Macaca mulatta: one gene and its partners. The main gene of each other region encodes a partner of the protein of the gene in region 2 in a complex. Links are inferred from orthologs where the notes say so. Each region holds a gene or a part of one and is shown on either strand. Other genes may lie near its edges.

Region 1 (4,766 bases), on a different chromosome or scaffold from region 2:
GTCCAGGCATTGTGGGGGTGGGGAAAGGTAAAGCTGAGCCGATCTAATGCCAACCCATCATCAGTGGGTGCCCCTTCCCCATGCCATCTTGCTGAGGGAGGGACTGGATTGTGAGGAGGGTGAGTTAGGCATGCCTAGGAGATCACTGAGCCCTAGTGTCACCCCCAAACCCCAGTAGCTGGGCTTGCAGGCCCTGGTGCCACCAGCTCTGTGCGCGATGGGGCAGTCACCTTCCCTGAGTGGGCTGGTAGAATCCCGGGTCACCTTGTCCACAGGTAACAACTCCGTGGGTGCCGTCCAGTGCCCTGATAGTCAGTTTGAATGCCCGGACCTCTCCACGTGCTGCATTATGGTCGATGGCTCCTGGGGGTGCTGCCCCATGCCCCAGGTACAAATCTGGGGAGACGGGGGTACGTGGAGGGAGGTGGGGGCAGAGGGTGGGGGCCAGGGGCAAGGGGTGAAGACGGAGTCAGGACCATTTTTTCTCAGGCTTCCTGCTGTGAAGACAGGGTGCACTGCTGTCCGCATGGTGCCTTCTGCGACCTGGTTCACACCCGCTGCATCACACCCACGGGCACCCACCCACTGGCAAAGAAGATCCCTGCCCAAAGGAGTAACAGGGCAGGTGAGGAGGTGGGAGAGCATCAGGCCAGGGGCTGGGGTGGGGCCTCATTGACTCCAAGTGTGGCAAAAAGTTCCCTCCACCCTGGCTGCCCCTCACACTTGCTTCTCTTCCAGTGGCTTTGTCCAGCTCAGTCATGTGTCCGGATGCACGGTCCCAGTGCCCTGATGGTTCTACCTGCTGTGAGCTGCCCAGTGGGAAGTATGGCTGCTGCCCAATGCCCAATGTGAGTGAGGGGCTGGAGCCAGCTTGGCTGTGTGCCCCCAGCCACTTGGCCCTGACATGCACCTTACGGGGCTCTGGGGCATGGGGCTGGCTGGCTGCTTGCTGGGAGCCTGGCTGATGCAGGGTTCATGCCACCCCCTAGTGGAGGATTGGGGCAGTGCCAGCCATCAGCCTGGCTGCTCCCTGTGCTCTGCTGAGCCTGGAAGTGACAAAGACTCACCCGTCCCCACCCAGGCCATGTGCTGCTCCGACCACCTGCACTGCTGCCCCCAAGACACTGTGTGTGACCTGATCCAGAGTAAGTGCCTCTCCAAGGAGAACACTACCATGGACCTCCTCACTAAGCTGCCTGCACAAACAGGTACCAGAGGCAGGGCACAGATACAGGGGTGGGGCCCTCTTTCCTCCCTTTTAGGCCTGGCCTTAGGATCACTGCAAGGTGGTGTAGGTGGTGCCCTCCATCTTCAACACCTGGTGCCAGCTGTGGAGCCGGCAAAGGGTGGATACCGCTGAGGGTCCCCAGTGCCACTTCTGATCTGTCCTCTCTGCCTCCCTCACAGTGGGAGACGTGAAATGTGACATGGAGGTGAGCTGCCCAGATGGCTATACCTGCTGCCGTCTACAGTCGGGGGCCTGGGGCTGCTGCCCTTTTACCCAGGTACCCAGGGGTGGTGGGTGGGTGCGCTGAGCAGTGTGGCAGCCAACTGGGCCCCAGTGCCCACTGGCCCTTCTCCATCTGCCCTAGGCTGTGTGCTGTGAGGACCATATACACTGCTGTCCCGCGGGGTTTACGTGTGACACGCAGAAGGGTACCTGTGAACAGGGAACTTACCAGGTGTCCTGGATGGAGAAGACCCTAGCTCACCTCAGCCTGCCAGACCCGCAAGCCTTGAAGAGAGATGTCCCCTGTGATAATGTCACCAGCTGTCCCCCCTCCAATACCTGCTGCCAACTCATGTCTGGAGAGTGGGGCTGCTGTCCAGTCCCAGAGGTACATGGGAGGGGACAGCATCGTGGCCTGGGCAGGTGGGTGGCCAAACTCCTATTGCTTTCCGCCCTCCGCATGGCCAGTAGGTGACACCCAGCTCTGTCAGATTCGTTCCCAGCTGGAGGTGCTGTAAGCAGGAGAGGCGGGCTGGAGTAGGTAGGGGCTCGGCACTGTGCCCCACCCCACATAGTGACTACCTAGAACGCCCTTTCCTGCCCACCCCCCAGGCTGTCTGCTGCTCGGACCACCAGCACTGCTGCCCCCAGGGCTACACGTGTGTAGCCGAGGGGCGGTGTCAGCGGGGAAGCGAGATCGTGGCTGGACTGGAGAAGATGCCTGCCCGCCAGGCTTCCTTATCCCACCCCAGAGACATGGGCTGTGACCAGCACACCAGCTGCCCAGTGGGGCAGACCTGCTGCCCAAGCCTGGGTGGGGGCTGGGCCTGCTGCCAGTTGCCCCACGTGAGTACCTCCCTGCCTGCCCCTGGATAGGGGAGCTAAGCCCGGCGAGGGGACAGGAATGTAACGCCATTCTGTGCTCCCTTCCCCGCCAGGCTGTGTGCTGCGAGGATCGCCAGCACTGCTGCCCGGCTGGCTACACCTGCAACGTGAAGGCCCGATCCTGCGAGAAGGAAGTGGTCTCTGCCCAGCCTGCCACCTTCCTGGCCCGTAGCCCTCACGTGGGTGTGCAGGACGTGGAGTGTGGGGGAGGGCACTTCTGCCATGATAACCAGACCTGCTGCCGAGACAACCGAGGGGGCTGGGCCTGCTGTCCCTACCGCCAGGTGAGTGCCATCCCCCACCCTGGGGCTGGGTATGGCCAGGGACCAGGTCCCACCTCATCCAACCCTCTCACCCCCCTCTGACCACCCAGGGCATCTGTTGTGCTGATCGGCGCCACTGCTGTCCTGCTGGCTTCCGCTGCGCAGCCAGGGGCGCCAAGTGTTTGCGCAGGGAGGCCCTGCGCTGGGACGCCCCTTTGAGGGACCCAGCCTTGAGACAGCTGCTGTGAGGGACACTACTGAAGACTCTGCAGCCCTCGGTACCCCACTCGGTGGGTGCCCTCTGCTCAGGCCTCCCTAGCACCTCTCCCCAACCAAATTCTCCCTGGCCCCCATTCTGAGCTCCCTATTACCATGGGAGGTGGGGCCTCAATCTAAGGCCTTCCCTGTCAGAAAGGGGTTGTGGCAAAAGCCACATTACAAGCTGCCATCCCCTCCCCATTTCTGTGGACCCTGTGGCCAGGTGCTTTTCCCTATCCACAGGGGTGTTTGTGTGTGTGCGTGTGTGAGTTCCAATAAAGTTTGTACACTTTCTTAAAAGTGTCTGATTTGCCGCCCTGCCTGCCCTCCCCAGGGCCCCAGAGCAAGGGTTCATGTCCACTGCCAACACTCCCTTCCCCTACCCCACAGAAAGACACACACAGCCTTAACCTCACCAGTTTTGTATTTGCTGCTGCCCACATCGGCTGTATCACATTACCCCCTAGTCCCCAGAGCTGTCCCAGCCACCAGCCCTGTGACATCGTAGCCCAGAGATGGGCTAGTCAGCAAGCAGCACCCCCTCCCCTCCCAGGGGTCCAGAGAGAACGCCCCCTCCCTTCCCAGCCCTCACACTAGCAGCTGAGGCTGGGTCACCCCTCCTGCTTTCCCACAATAGAGCTTTCTATGTACAGCCACGTCTACACAGGCACTGCTTCCCCCCAGCCCTCCTCCCCGGCACCTCCCCTTGGGGGCTGGACCCCCCTTCCTCCCCGGCTTGGAGGCAGACACAGGGTCCCTTGCAAGACACAACCCAGCACCTACCACGGAACGGCTCCAAGGCCCCTGGGCCCCTCTCCAGCCTGGGCCTGGGGGCTACGCGCGAGGGCCCCCGCAGGCCCCGGGGGCGCGCACCCTGGGTGCGGGCTCGCGCGGGAGGGGCGGTGCCAGGCCCGGCGCCGGCGCTACTTGACGTTGAACACCATCAGCGGCCGCTCCTCCCGCCGCTGCCACGGGCTCTTCTTGTCGCCGGCCTCGTCGCCCACCTCCGTCCCCAGCTCGTCCTCCGGGCTGGTGAGCGAGTCGCGCCGCAGCTCGCTGGCGCTGCTGCGGGAGCTGTCCCCGCGGCTGCGGCCCCGCCCCCGGGGTACCGTGGCCGCCCGGCCCTCGGGCGCCGCCACCTCGTCCAGCAGCGGCGTCAGCGAGTTGTCCTCTGGAGAGCAGAGACCCGTGCGGCTCTCGCTGCTGCTGGGCTCCGTGTCCTCGCTGAGCGCCAGGCGCGGGGGCGCGGGCGGCGGCGGCGGCGCGGCAGGCGGGGCGCGCTCCCGCTCCTCCCTCGCGGGCCGGCGGCGCGCGGGCCGCGCCTCGTGCACATCGACGCCCGAGTCCAGGCTGGCGTCGGTGCTGCGGGCCCCGCCGCCCGCCTGCAGGTCGATGTAAGAGTGGCGCACTTGCGAGTTGGAGCGCCCGTCGAGGGACACGAACCAGGCGCGCGGGTGCGGCTTCACGCCCAGTTCCAGTAGCTTCTTCTCGGTCAGGGCCTGCAGCTCCCCGTTGAGCTGCGCCATGGTGGACTCGTTGAACAGCACAGGGATGGTGACCGAGCCACTGACGGGCGCCGCGCGCCCGGCCCCCCAGCCCTCGCCGCCGCCCCCGCCGCCCTCGCCCCCCGGGCCTGAGTGGCCCTGCATCTGCGGGCGCTGGGGATCGGGCTGCGGAAAAGCGCGCGCTGGGCCGGGTGCCGTGCCCTCGGGCGGGGCCGGCTCGTCGCCCACGCCCGCGGCGCCAGCCTCGCCGCCGAGGCGCACGTAGTGCGCGGGGATCACCAGGGTGGGCATGACGTTGCGGTAGACGTTGTCCTTGAGGTGGTCGATGGAGCCGCAGAAGATGAGCTGCCCCGCCTGGCCCAGCGACGGCGGCCGCGCCAGCTGGTCCACCGACTGCGACAGCAG
Region 2 (5,382 bases):
ATTACACCATCCTGGATTCTGGAGGCATCATTGTGGCCATTGAGCACAGCAGCCGTCCTATCAATGTGATTAAGTATGCATGAACTCATCTCACACACATTGTCTGCATAGAGGGCAACTTGGGGGATGGTCTTCAGTTTATTGGGGGGATGTTACAGACTATAATTCAAATTTTTGCATTTGACAGAACTATAGATAAGATTCTAGAAAGGATTGCTTTTAAAATGGCGTTGTTTTTTCGTCTCACTGCCTCTAGCTAACATATTTGTCACTTCTTAAAAACATTCTTTCTGGGTTGGGCGCAGTGGCTCATGCCTTTAATCCCAGCACTTTGGGAGGCCAAAGCAGGAGGATCACTTGAGCCCAGGAGTTCAAGACCAGCCTGGGCAACATAGGGAGACCCTGTCTCTAATATTATTTCAATTTAAAAAAAAAAATATATATATATATATATTCTTTCTGTCTACAAAATTATTATGGAAGCGTTCAAGCACTCTAGATTGAAAATGACTTCTTAAGTATAAGTTCTGAGCCGGGTATGGTGGCACACACCTGTAATCCCAGCACTTTGAGAGGCCAAGGTGGGTGGATCGCTTGAGCCAGGAGTTCAAGACTAGCCTGGGCAATGTGACAAACCGCTGTCTCCATAAAAAAAAGAAAAATTAGCTGGATGTGGTGGTGCATGCCTTTGGTTCCAGCTACTTGGGAGGCCGAGGTGGGAGGATCACCTGAGGAGGTCGAGGCCACAGTGAGCCGAGATCATACCACTGCACTCCAGCCTGGGTGACAGAGTGAGATCCTGTCTCAAAGAAAAAAAGAAGTATAAGTTCTTATAAAATAATTTGATTGTTATTTATTTATTTATTCATTGAGATGGAGTTTCGCTGTTGTCACCCAAGCTGGAGTGCAGTGGTGCAATCTTGGCTCACTGCAACCTCCCGCCGCCCAGGTTCAAGTGATTCTTGTGTCTCAGTCACCTGAGCAGCTGAGATTACAGGCATGCACCACCACACCCAGCTAAATTTTGTGAGTTTTTTTTTTTTTTTTTTGGTAGAGATGGGGTTTTGTCATGTTGGTCAGGCTATTCTTGAACTCCTGACCTCAGGTGATTCACCTGCCTCAGCCTCCCAAAATGCTGGGATTACAGGCGTGCACCACCACAGCCAGCCTTAAATTTATTAATTTAAAAGCCACTTCTTACCTGGGTCACTCTCCTGTCTTTCCTTTGAAATAATTTCTGCAAAGATATTTACTTTCATACTCTCTCTGAACAAATCTCTTTTGCTTATCCTGTTAACCACAGACATTAAAAGTAAAAATAGTTGGCCGGGTGCGGTGGCTCACACCGATTATCTTGGGAGGCCAAGGCGGGAAGATTACCTGAGATCAAGAGTTCGAGACCAGCCTGCGCAACATGTGAAACTCCATTTCTACTAAAAATACAAAAATTAGCTGGGTGTGGTAGCACGTGCCTGTAATCCCAGCTACTCGGGAGGCTAAGGCATGAGAATCTCTTGAACCCACGAGGCAGAGGTTGCAGTGAGCCGAGATCGTGCCACTGCACTCCAGCCTGGTGACAGAGTGACACTCCATCTCAGAAAAAAAAAAAAAAAAAGATTAAAATAGTTGTCAGCCAATAAGCCATCACCTAAATGTGTAAGGGGTTTTGTCTGGTTTGGGGTCAAAAAGCCAGAGTGGTTTTCTGAATTCCCAGTATACGTGGATCCTCTGTCATGATCTTTCTCTAATCGTGGTTTCAGGTTCTCCACAGACGAAGGTCAGTGCTGGCAAACCTACACGTTCACCAGGGACCCCATCTATTTCACTGGCCTAGCTTCAGAACCTGGAGCGAGGTCCATGAATATCAGTATTTGGGGCTTCACAGAATCTTTCCTGACCAGCCAGTGGGTCTCCTACACCATTGATTTTAAAGATATCCTTGAAAGGAACTGTGAGTGTCTCCTTTGACCTTTTCTACCAGCAACCTAAGCCTATTTTCCTAAATAATCAATATGGTTTGATTTCTGTTAGCTGGAATCAGCAGATGCATATTCACATGAAAGAGGATTGACAGATGTTCTGTGCGGGTGATTAAGTAATGGAATGGCATCAGAAAAACAGCCTCCTCCTTGGTGCTAGCACTGTCCAGGAGAAATATGAGGGTCACATATGTCATTTAAATTATTCTGTCAGTTACATTATAAAAGTAAAAAGAAAGGTGATATTAATAAAATAAACTTAATATATACAAAATATTATTTCAACATTAAGCAGTATTAAAGGACCAGAAAATAGCTTCAGAAAAAGATTCATAATGTTCATTACACAGTGTTCCCGAAGTGTCACAAGCAAACCCTGATCTCAGTGCCAAACAAAGGTGCTGGCATTATATAAGAAATAAGGGGAATGGCCAGGCGCAGTGGCTCATGCCTGTAATCCTAGCACTTTGGGAGGCCAAGATGGGCAGATCACGAGGTCAGGAGTTCGAGACCAGCCTGGCCAACAGGGCGAAACCCCGTCTCTACTAAAAATACAAAAATTAGCCAGGTGAGGTGGCGGGTGCCTGTAATCCCAGCTAGTCGGGAGGCTGGGGCAGGAGAATCATTTGAACCCGGGATGAAGAGGTTGTAGTGAGCCAAGATCGTGCCATTGCACTCCAGCCTGGGTGACAAGAGCAAGACTCCATCTCAAAAAAAAAAAAAAAAAGAAGGGGGATAAAGGAAAACACTGGAAAAAGGATGACCTGTAGTTAAGTGTTGGCATGATGCAATAAAAGACTTAACATTTCCAGACACTTTAGTTGAATTTGGTTCTTTGAGACTCGTGAGCTCATTTCCTCAGTGTGTTGATTTAGTGACTCCTGAGGGAGCAGACCCTTGGTTTGGACCTTACTTTTCCATAAGACGTTCAAATAGATTTAATGCCTGAGGGTCGCTGTCATTTAAATCCATTCAGTAGTCTGTACAGAAGCTGGCTTGGGAGTTCTCCCCTCAGCAGGCAGTTTTCCAGTTACCCCTAAAGTTTAATGTCATTAAAAGATTTGTTAGGCACCTGCTCTTTAGCAGGATCTATGCTGGTCTTCATTTCCCGAAGGATAAAACCTAATCCACTGTCTTTAGGTCACAGCCTTTGAGTCGTTTTTCCAGTAGATGATACGACATACTAAGCCAGAAACTAGGTTCATCAGCAATCTGCATTTGAGAGCCGGTCAATTGGAGCTAGAAGTCTAGGAAGAGGATGTTTTCCCTTCTGCCTTAAGCCAGTGAACACATGGTGAAATTGAACCTGTGTTCTTGGCTAATTAGTCTTGTCCTAAACAAAGAGCTCCCTGGCCCTGAGTGGAAAATATCTGGTTGCTTACATCTGACAGCTCCTTGACTGAGGGCGTAGGTGTGCAAGACACACAGACAACAGCCTCTTAGTTTGGAAGGAACTAGAGAGATTTTCTATCCAGCTCCCACTTCAAAACAAGTAGGGTTTTTCCTAATCCTCAGATGGATGTTGAGATGGAAAGAATATTCTTTTGGCATGAGGAAATGCAATTGCTAGTAGGCTCTAGACTAGTGTAGCTTTCTGTTTGCAATTCCAAAATGAAGGAATAGGTTGAGTCAGACATTCCCACTTTCCCTCTCCTTGTTCTACCTATAGCCTGGCAGCTGCCTCCCGTGGGTGGGTTCTGTGCTGTGCACTTTTCCTGAACAGTCTGTCTCTCATTCAGGTGAAGAGAAGGACTATACCATATGGCTGGCACACTCCACAGACCCTGAAGATTATGAAGATGGCTGCATTTTGGGCTATAAAGAACAGTTTCTGCGGCTACGCAAGTCATCCGTGTGTCAGAATGGTCGAGACTATGTTGTGACCAAGCAGCCCTCCATCTGCCTCTGTTCCCTGGAGGACTTTCTCTGGTATCGGCATTCCTCAGATTTCTCTATCTCCCCTTCCCTGTTGGAGGAGGTGAAAGACAGTTTTCTTATAGGCTAACAAATATTGAAATCCAACCGGGCACCGTGGCTCACACCTGTAATCCCAGCACTTTGGGAGGTCGAGGCAGGTGGATCACTTCAGGCCAGGAGTTCGAGGTCAGCTTGGCCAACATGGTGAAACTCTGTCTCTACAAAAAAAAAAAATTAGCTGGGTGTGGTGGCACATGCCTGTAATCCCAGCTGCTCAGGTGGCTGAGACACAAGAATCACTTGAACTTGGGAGGCAGAGGTTGCAGTGAGCCAAGATCGCGCCATTGCACTCCAGCCGGGGCGACAGAGCGAGACTCTTGTCCCAAAAGAAATTGAAACCCTTTTCTCCAAGAGTGGAGAACTGCTGCTTCTTATCAAGGAAACTGAGGCACAGAGAAAGGAAACCAAAATTGTTAATAATTAGATAATATAATCATATTAGACAGTTAATGGGCAGAACCAGCAACGAACCCCAGAAATCCTGAGTTGACAGTGGTGGGAAGGAGAGAAGTGATATAAGAAAGAAGAGAAGCCAGGCGTGGTGGCTCACGCCTGTAATCCCAGCACTGTGGGAGGCCGCGGCAGGCAGATCATGAGGTCAAGAGATCGAGACCATCCTGGCTAACATGGTGAAACCCCATCTCTACTAAAAAATACAAAAAACTAGCTGGGCGTGGTCGGGGGCTCCTGTAGTCCCAGCTGCTTGGGAGGCTGAGGCAGGAGAATGGCATGAACCCGGGAGGCAGAGCTTGCAGTGAGCCGAGATCACGCCACTGCACTCCAGCCTAGGGGACAGAGTGAGACTCTGTCTCAAAAAAAAAAAAAAGAAGAGAATAAAACAAAAATCTGTAGGAAATAAAGACAAAAACACCAAAAGAAGTGGTAGAGGAGCAAAGAGGAAATTGGACTTTAGAAAATAGCCTGAGGCCCGGCACGGTGGCTCATGCCTGTAATCCCAACACTTTGGGAGGCCAAGGAGGGTGGATTGCTTAAACTCAGGAGTTTGAGACCAGCTTGGGCAATATGACAAGACCCCATCTCAAACGAAAACAAAGAAAGAGAAAGAAAACTCCCTGACAGCATGAGCTCGGCAGGCGGACACTAGGTTTTGGATCCTCTGCAAGAATCAAGGCAGAGAGATGGTGGTTGGTCCTGAGACTAGAGGTGACATCAGTATAGTCATGGTCCCATTAAGGTTTAGAGGCCATCAAAGTGGACTCCCTAGAGTTCAGGACCATCCAGACTTAAGGATTAGTTACTTGGCTGGCATCGGGTTAGTTGATTATATAAGGGCATGAGTCCCTGGATAGCTTAAATGAGGTAATTTTGGGGCAAATAAGAGGAACTGCTTCACATCACAGATGATGATCTTATGAAACTTGTTACCTGTAAAAGATACTGACACAAGATAAAAGTAGATCCTAAA
Region 3 (4,232 bases), on a different chromosome or scaffold from region 2:
TGTTTTTTAAGATTACTATTTTTAAGAAAATACATAAGAAAGACATTAACCTCTAAGACTACTTTTTAAAATTAACCTAAAATCTGTAGATTATGATATAATTATATGATATGTGATTATAGTAAACCTGATTTTGATTTTACTCAGATTCAGAGGAGGAAATGAAAGCATTAGAAGCAGATTTATTGACCAGCATGCATACATCAAAGGTAACTTTTTCTTTTCTTTAACTCTGGGTTGAAGAACATATGAACTTTCATTATCAATATGGTATCCTTTTCCTATAGTAATAACTTCCCATCCAGATTTAAAAGTTCCTTAAGAGGCATTTCCTTTTTGAAAAAAAAAACTCTTTTAGTTAAAAGAAGTTAAAGGTGTTGATATGACAGGTAAAGAAATTATAGTTCTATCAATCAGTATTTTGCAATTTTAATTAATTGCCACACATATTTACGTGCCTGTAAATGTTTTTAAAGGAACTTGTTTCCATGCCTTTTACATTGGGTATGAAGAAAGGTATATTGGTCTCAGTTTAAATGAAAACAAAGTGAGCTCTTTGCCTTTGTTTATTATATTGGGGGAAATAAAAAGGTGTTTTTTTATTTCCTTAAATTAGAAATAACAGTTCATTACAACCTGCAGAAGAAATGTAGTAGAGAGGTGAGAGCAATGGACTGGCAAGCAGGAGCACTGAGATCTAATCCTGAAACAGTGACTTATTAAATATTTTATCTTTAGCAAGTGGATTAGTTTACCTTGCTTACCTGTGTTTCCTTGTTTTTAAATGCAGCTCATAGTCTTCTAGACATTTACCATTCTATAATGTATTTAGGAGTTACTAAACTGTACTCTTCATTGTATGTCTGGATTTAATTCTCCCTATACCAGACACGTTATTTTCACATGTTCTAATTCTTTTTTCTTTAATTGAGCCAAATACAACTTTGTATTCTGGGCCCTATTACTCCTCTGCTGGGGTCTTGAAAGCAAGTTTCTAAAATTCCAATCCGTACCTAGGAATACGTTCTGCGGTACATGTGCAGGATGTGCAGGTTTGTTACATAGGTAAAGGTGTGCTGTGGTGGTTTGCTGCACCTATCAACCCATCACCTAGGTATTAAGCCTAGCATGCATTAGCTATTTTTCCTAATGCTCTTGCTTCCTCCACCCCACCCTCTGACAGGCCCCAGTGTGGGTTGTTCCCCTCCCTGTGCCCATGTGTTCTCATTGTTTAGTACTCAATCAGAATACTAATGGCTACAACATCTTCAGTTCAAAAATAGACAACGGAAGTTAATAGTCTGTGTTAGAAAATGGGATAAGTTACGTGCCTTGGTGTCTTGGTATAGATTTACCTAATTCCCAGGTGCAAGTTAATACATAAAGGTCCTAAATAATCTGTGATGCTACCCATAACAATTATTAATGTGTGGAATGCATTACTATCTTCATGCTTTGTAATTGTCCACATTTAATAATACCATCTTTGTCACTGCCCCATTAAACATTAAGCTGAAATGTAATAGATATGGAATAATTTTTTATTTTTAATTTTTCATCTGTGATATATATATCATATTTATATATTTCTGATGTCATTTTAATTTCCTTGCTTTTTTACTTTGCTCTGTGTGTATACACATAAGTGCATGTGTATGTGAATATGACTATTGCGTTTTGTTAAATAGAATTTATGAGATATTGGCACTATACAACTTTGTGAACATGATGTTACTAAATAAATAACACTGTGTTTATTAGACTGGAGTAGCAATTAGACCCTAAATGTGATGGTTTAGCACACTGGGAATTCATTTCTTGCTCATGTAACACAAGTTTTAATTACAGGGTTTTTTTTTTTTTTAATTTTATGTTTCAGATTAGTAAAGCACATGTTCCCTCTTGGAAGATGACTCTGCTAAATGTTTGCAGTCTTGTAAATAATTTGAACAGCCCAGCTGAGGAAACAGGAGAAGTTCATGAAGAGCAGCTTATTACAAGAAGGAAACTTCCCACTGCTTTAGATGGCTTTAGCTTGGAAGCAATGTTGACAATATACCAGCTCCACAAAATCTGTCACAGCAGGGCTTTTCAACACTGGGAGGTATAGCAATAACAAAATATTAATATGATTATAGTTACACTAGTTAACTGTCATTTGTATTGATTTATTAAATTCCCAATCATAATCATAACAAGAAGAGTTACAAGTATTGAAGAAGAACAAGCCACGTGTTGAAGTCAACATTGCTTCAAATCTTCAAAGTGTCCTTCAAATATTTGAAACTGAGCAAAATATGTTTTTCTTCAACCTTAAAAATAGGATATATCTTCAGGCAGATTTGATCTACATGTTTTTATTATGCTTAAGTGGATGGCATGTTTAGGCAATTTTTGTTGTTGTAGGTGGTGGCATGTCTAACAAATTTAAGCAACTCAAAATGTTGTCTTAGAAACACAAAGTCATGTGTAGTGATCTATAAACAAACTGGATTTATAAATCTATAAACAAAGTAATCCAAGTAAAACTGGAATAAAACATAAAGTTTTCCATTTGTATTTGAATATATTAGGCAAATAAAAAATATATTTTTATGTATATACAAATATAAGATAAGGATGTATTACATTGTTGCAAAAGTAATTGTGGTTCTTGCCATTACTTTTGCCATTACTGTTGATGGCAAAAACCACAATTACTTTTGCACCAAGCTAATATATCTCTATTATTCCAGTTTTATCTGGAACCTGTTGTGTTTGAATATATTAGGCAAATAAAAGTATTTTTAATTTATATAAAGGTATATATAATAGGGATATATATCTGCCCATCATTTCAGTTTATTTGGAAACCTTTGTGTTCTGTGTTTGTTTATAAATACACACCAGTGTGTAATAATGTACTTGCAAAATGCTTTACAATTTATTGCCTTCATTGATATATTTTGCTCTGAAATATAAATTACAGCTTTGAGAAGATATAGAACAATGTTAGGATAAAGAAGAGGAGGGGGAAGAAAAATAAATTCTTCAACAAAAACAAACCAGATGTTTAAAAATTTCTGACAAGGGAAACATTTCTTTCAAATTAACCTCTAAGAGAAATTTGGTCAATATTTTATATTCTGGATTTACACTAGCATTGGAGATCTGAGAGTGCCTTCCCTGCTAATCTAATAAACTTGTGATTGACTACCAAAGAGCTACCCTGTAGATAAGAAGAAGTGCAGGCAGAATTTCTAGTGTTTATTATAACTGGTAAGCAAAAAGATAAATAAACAAAAAACTGAAAAGATCAGTTTTAAATTTACTATTAATTATTTAATTTAAATTTCTGGTAAATTGTTTAGTATTTAAAATATGTTTTGGCTGGGCATGGTGGCTCACGCCTGGAATCCCAGTAGTTTGTGAGGCTGAGGCGGACTGATCACTAGGTCAGGAGATCGAGACCATCCTGGCTAACACGGTGAAATCTCGTCTCCACTAAAACTACAAAAAATTAGCCGGGCGTGGTGGCCGGCGCCTGTCGTCCCAGCTACTCAGGAGGCTGAGGCAGGAGAATGGCGTGAACTCGGGAGGCGGAGCTTGCAGTGAACCTAGATCGCACCACTACACTCCTGCCTATATTTTTATATAGGAAAATGTCCATTATATGTTACTTACCCCCCCCAAAAAAAATCCTCAATAAACTACTATGTAGACCAATTCTACTATGTAGAATGGTTTTCATGTCAAATCAGTAACTGACTTAATTGAATATAAAATTTTGTTACCTTTGTTGCCAAACTTGGTTTACCAGATCAAAAACTATATTGAAATATATATTTCATACTTTTGGCATTTCCATCATAAATTGAAGCCTGAAAAGTACTCAAAGGTCTATTTGGTGTTTTTCTACAAAAGGTGGGATTAGTGTACAGTCTTGAAATACATAACTAGTAAAGTATATAGAAATTTTTTAAAAGAGCTAGCCTGGTGAACTAGGAAGAATCCTGAACTGAGTCAGAATTACCATGTTCTTATACTATTGCAGCCACTGAATAGCCATCTCTCCTTTGAAAAAACAATTTCTTTGAACTTCATGTATCTCGTATCTCACCTACATATGTCTTGCTGTCTTAACAGCAAATGAGATAGAATGTAGAAAAATGCTCTGAAACAAAAGAGTTTATTCATGTAAGTTTCACTTACTTCATCTCTATCTTGCAGTTAATCCAGGAAGATATTCTTGA

What was found.
Region 1: the proteins of SORT1 (region 2) and GRN are in contact, whole or in part, in a crystal structure (PDB 8T8S), measured with the Homo sapiens proteins. The link is inferred for Macaca mulatta from reciprocal best matches to the Homo sapiens genes SORT1 and GRN. Residues at the interface, in NP_002950.3 of Homo sapiens: Leu108, Gly110, Ser111, Val112, Ser113, Leu114, Ile174, Gly175, Pro176, Lys260, Tyr304, Ser305, Phe306, Gly307, Leu308, Phe314, Ala315, Ser316, Arg325, Ile327, Phe350, Tyr351, Ser352, Ile353, Leu354, Tyr395, Thr398, Gly399, Thr402, Phe404; in NP_002078.1 of Homo sapiens: Pro578, Arg579, Trp580, Asp581, Ala582, Pro583, Arg585, Arg590, Gln591, Leu592, Leu593.
Region 3: the proteins of SORT1 (region 2) and NTS are in contact, whole or in part, in a crystal structure (PDB 4PO7), measured with the Homo sapiens proteins. The link is inferred for Macaca mulatta from reciprocal best matches to the Homo sapiens genes SORT1 and NTS. Residues at the interface, in NP_002950.3 of Homo sapiens: Val112, Ser113, Leu114, Ser115, Trp116, Lys260, Tyr304, Ser305, Phe306, Gly307, Leu308, Phe314, Ser316, Arg325, Ile327, Phe350, Tyr351, Ser352, Ile353, Tyr395, Gly399, Thr570, Gly571, Leu572, Ala573, Trp586, Trp597; in NP_006174.1 of Homo sapiens: Leu152, Tyr153, Glu154, Asn155, Pro160, Tyr161, Ile162, Leu163.

Annotation. Positions count from the first base shown.
Region 1 is NC_133421.1:68,728,411-68,733,176, forward strand, and holds the end of GRN (progranulin), read left to right. Parts: intron 1-275; coding exon 276-388; intron 389-489; coding exon 490-625; intron 626-738; coding exon 739-848; intron 849-1,081; coding exon 1,082-1,208; intron 1,209-1,407; coding exon 1,408-1,505; intron 1,506-1,592; coding exon 1,593-1,838; intron 1,839-2,062; coding exon 2,063-2,296; intron 2,297-2,388; coding exon 2,389-2,619; intron 2,620-2,708; coding exon 2,709-2,846; 3' UTR 2,847-3,156; downstream 3,157-4,766. Other genes in the region: protein FAM171A2, read right to left, coding at 3,780-4,766. UniProt on the Homo sapiens protein: Secreted protein that acts as a key regulator of lysosomal function and as a growth factor involved in inflammation, wound healing and cell proliferation. Regulates protein trafficking to lysosomes, and also the activity of lysosomal enzymes.
Region 2 is NC_133406.1:130,881,174-130,886,555, forward strand, and holds part of SORT1 (sortilin), read left to right. Parts: coding exon 1-73; intron 74-1,760; coding exon 1,761-1,951; intron 1,952-3,718; coding exon 3,719-3,908; intron 3,909-5,382.
Region 3 is NC_133416.1:93,073,636-93,077,867, forward strand, and holds part of NTS (neurotensin/neuromedin N), read left to right. Parts: intron 1-147; coding exon 148-209; intron 210-1,879; coding exon 1,880-2,104; intron 2,105-4,209; coding exon 4,210-4,232. UniProt on the Homo sapiens protein: Neurotensin may play an endocrine or paracrine role in the regulation of fat metabolism. It causes contraction of smooth muscle.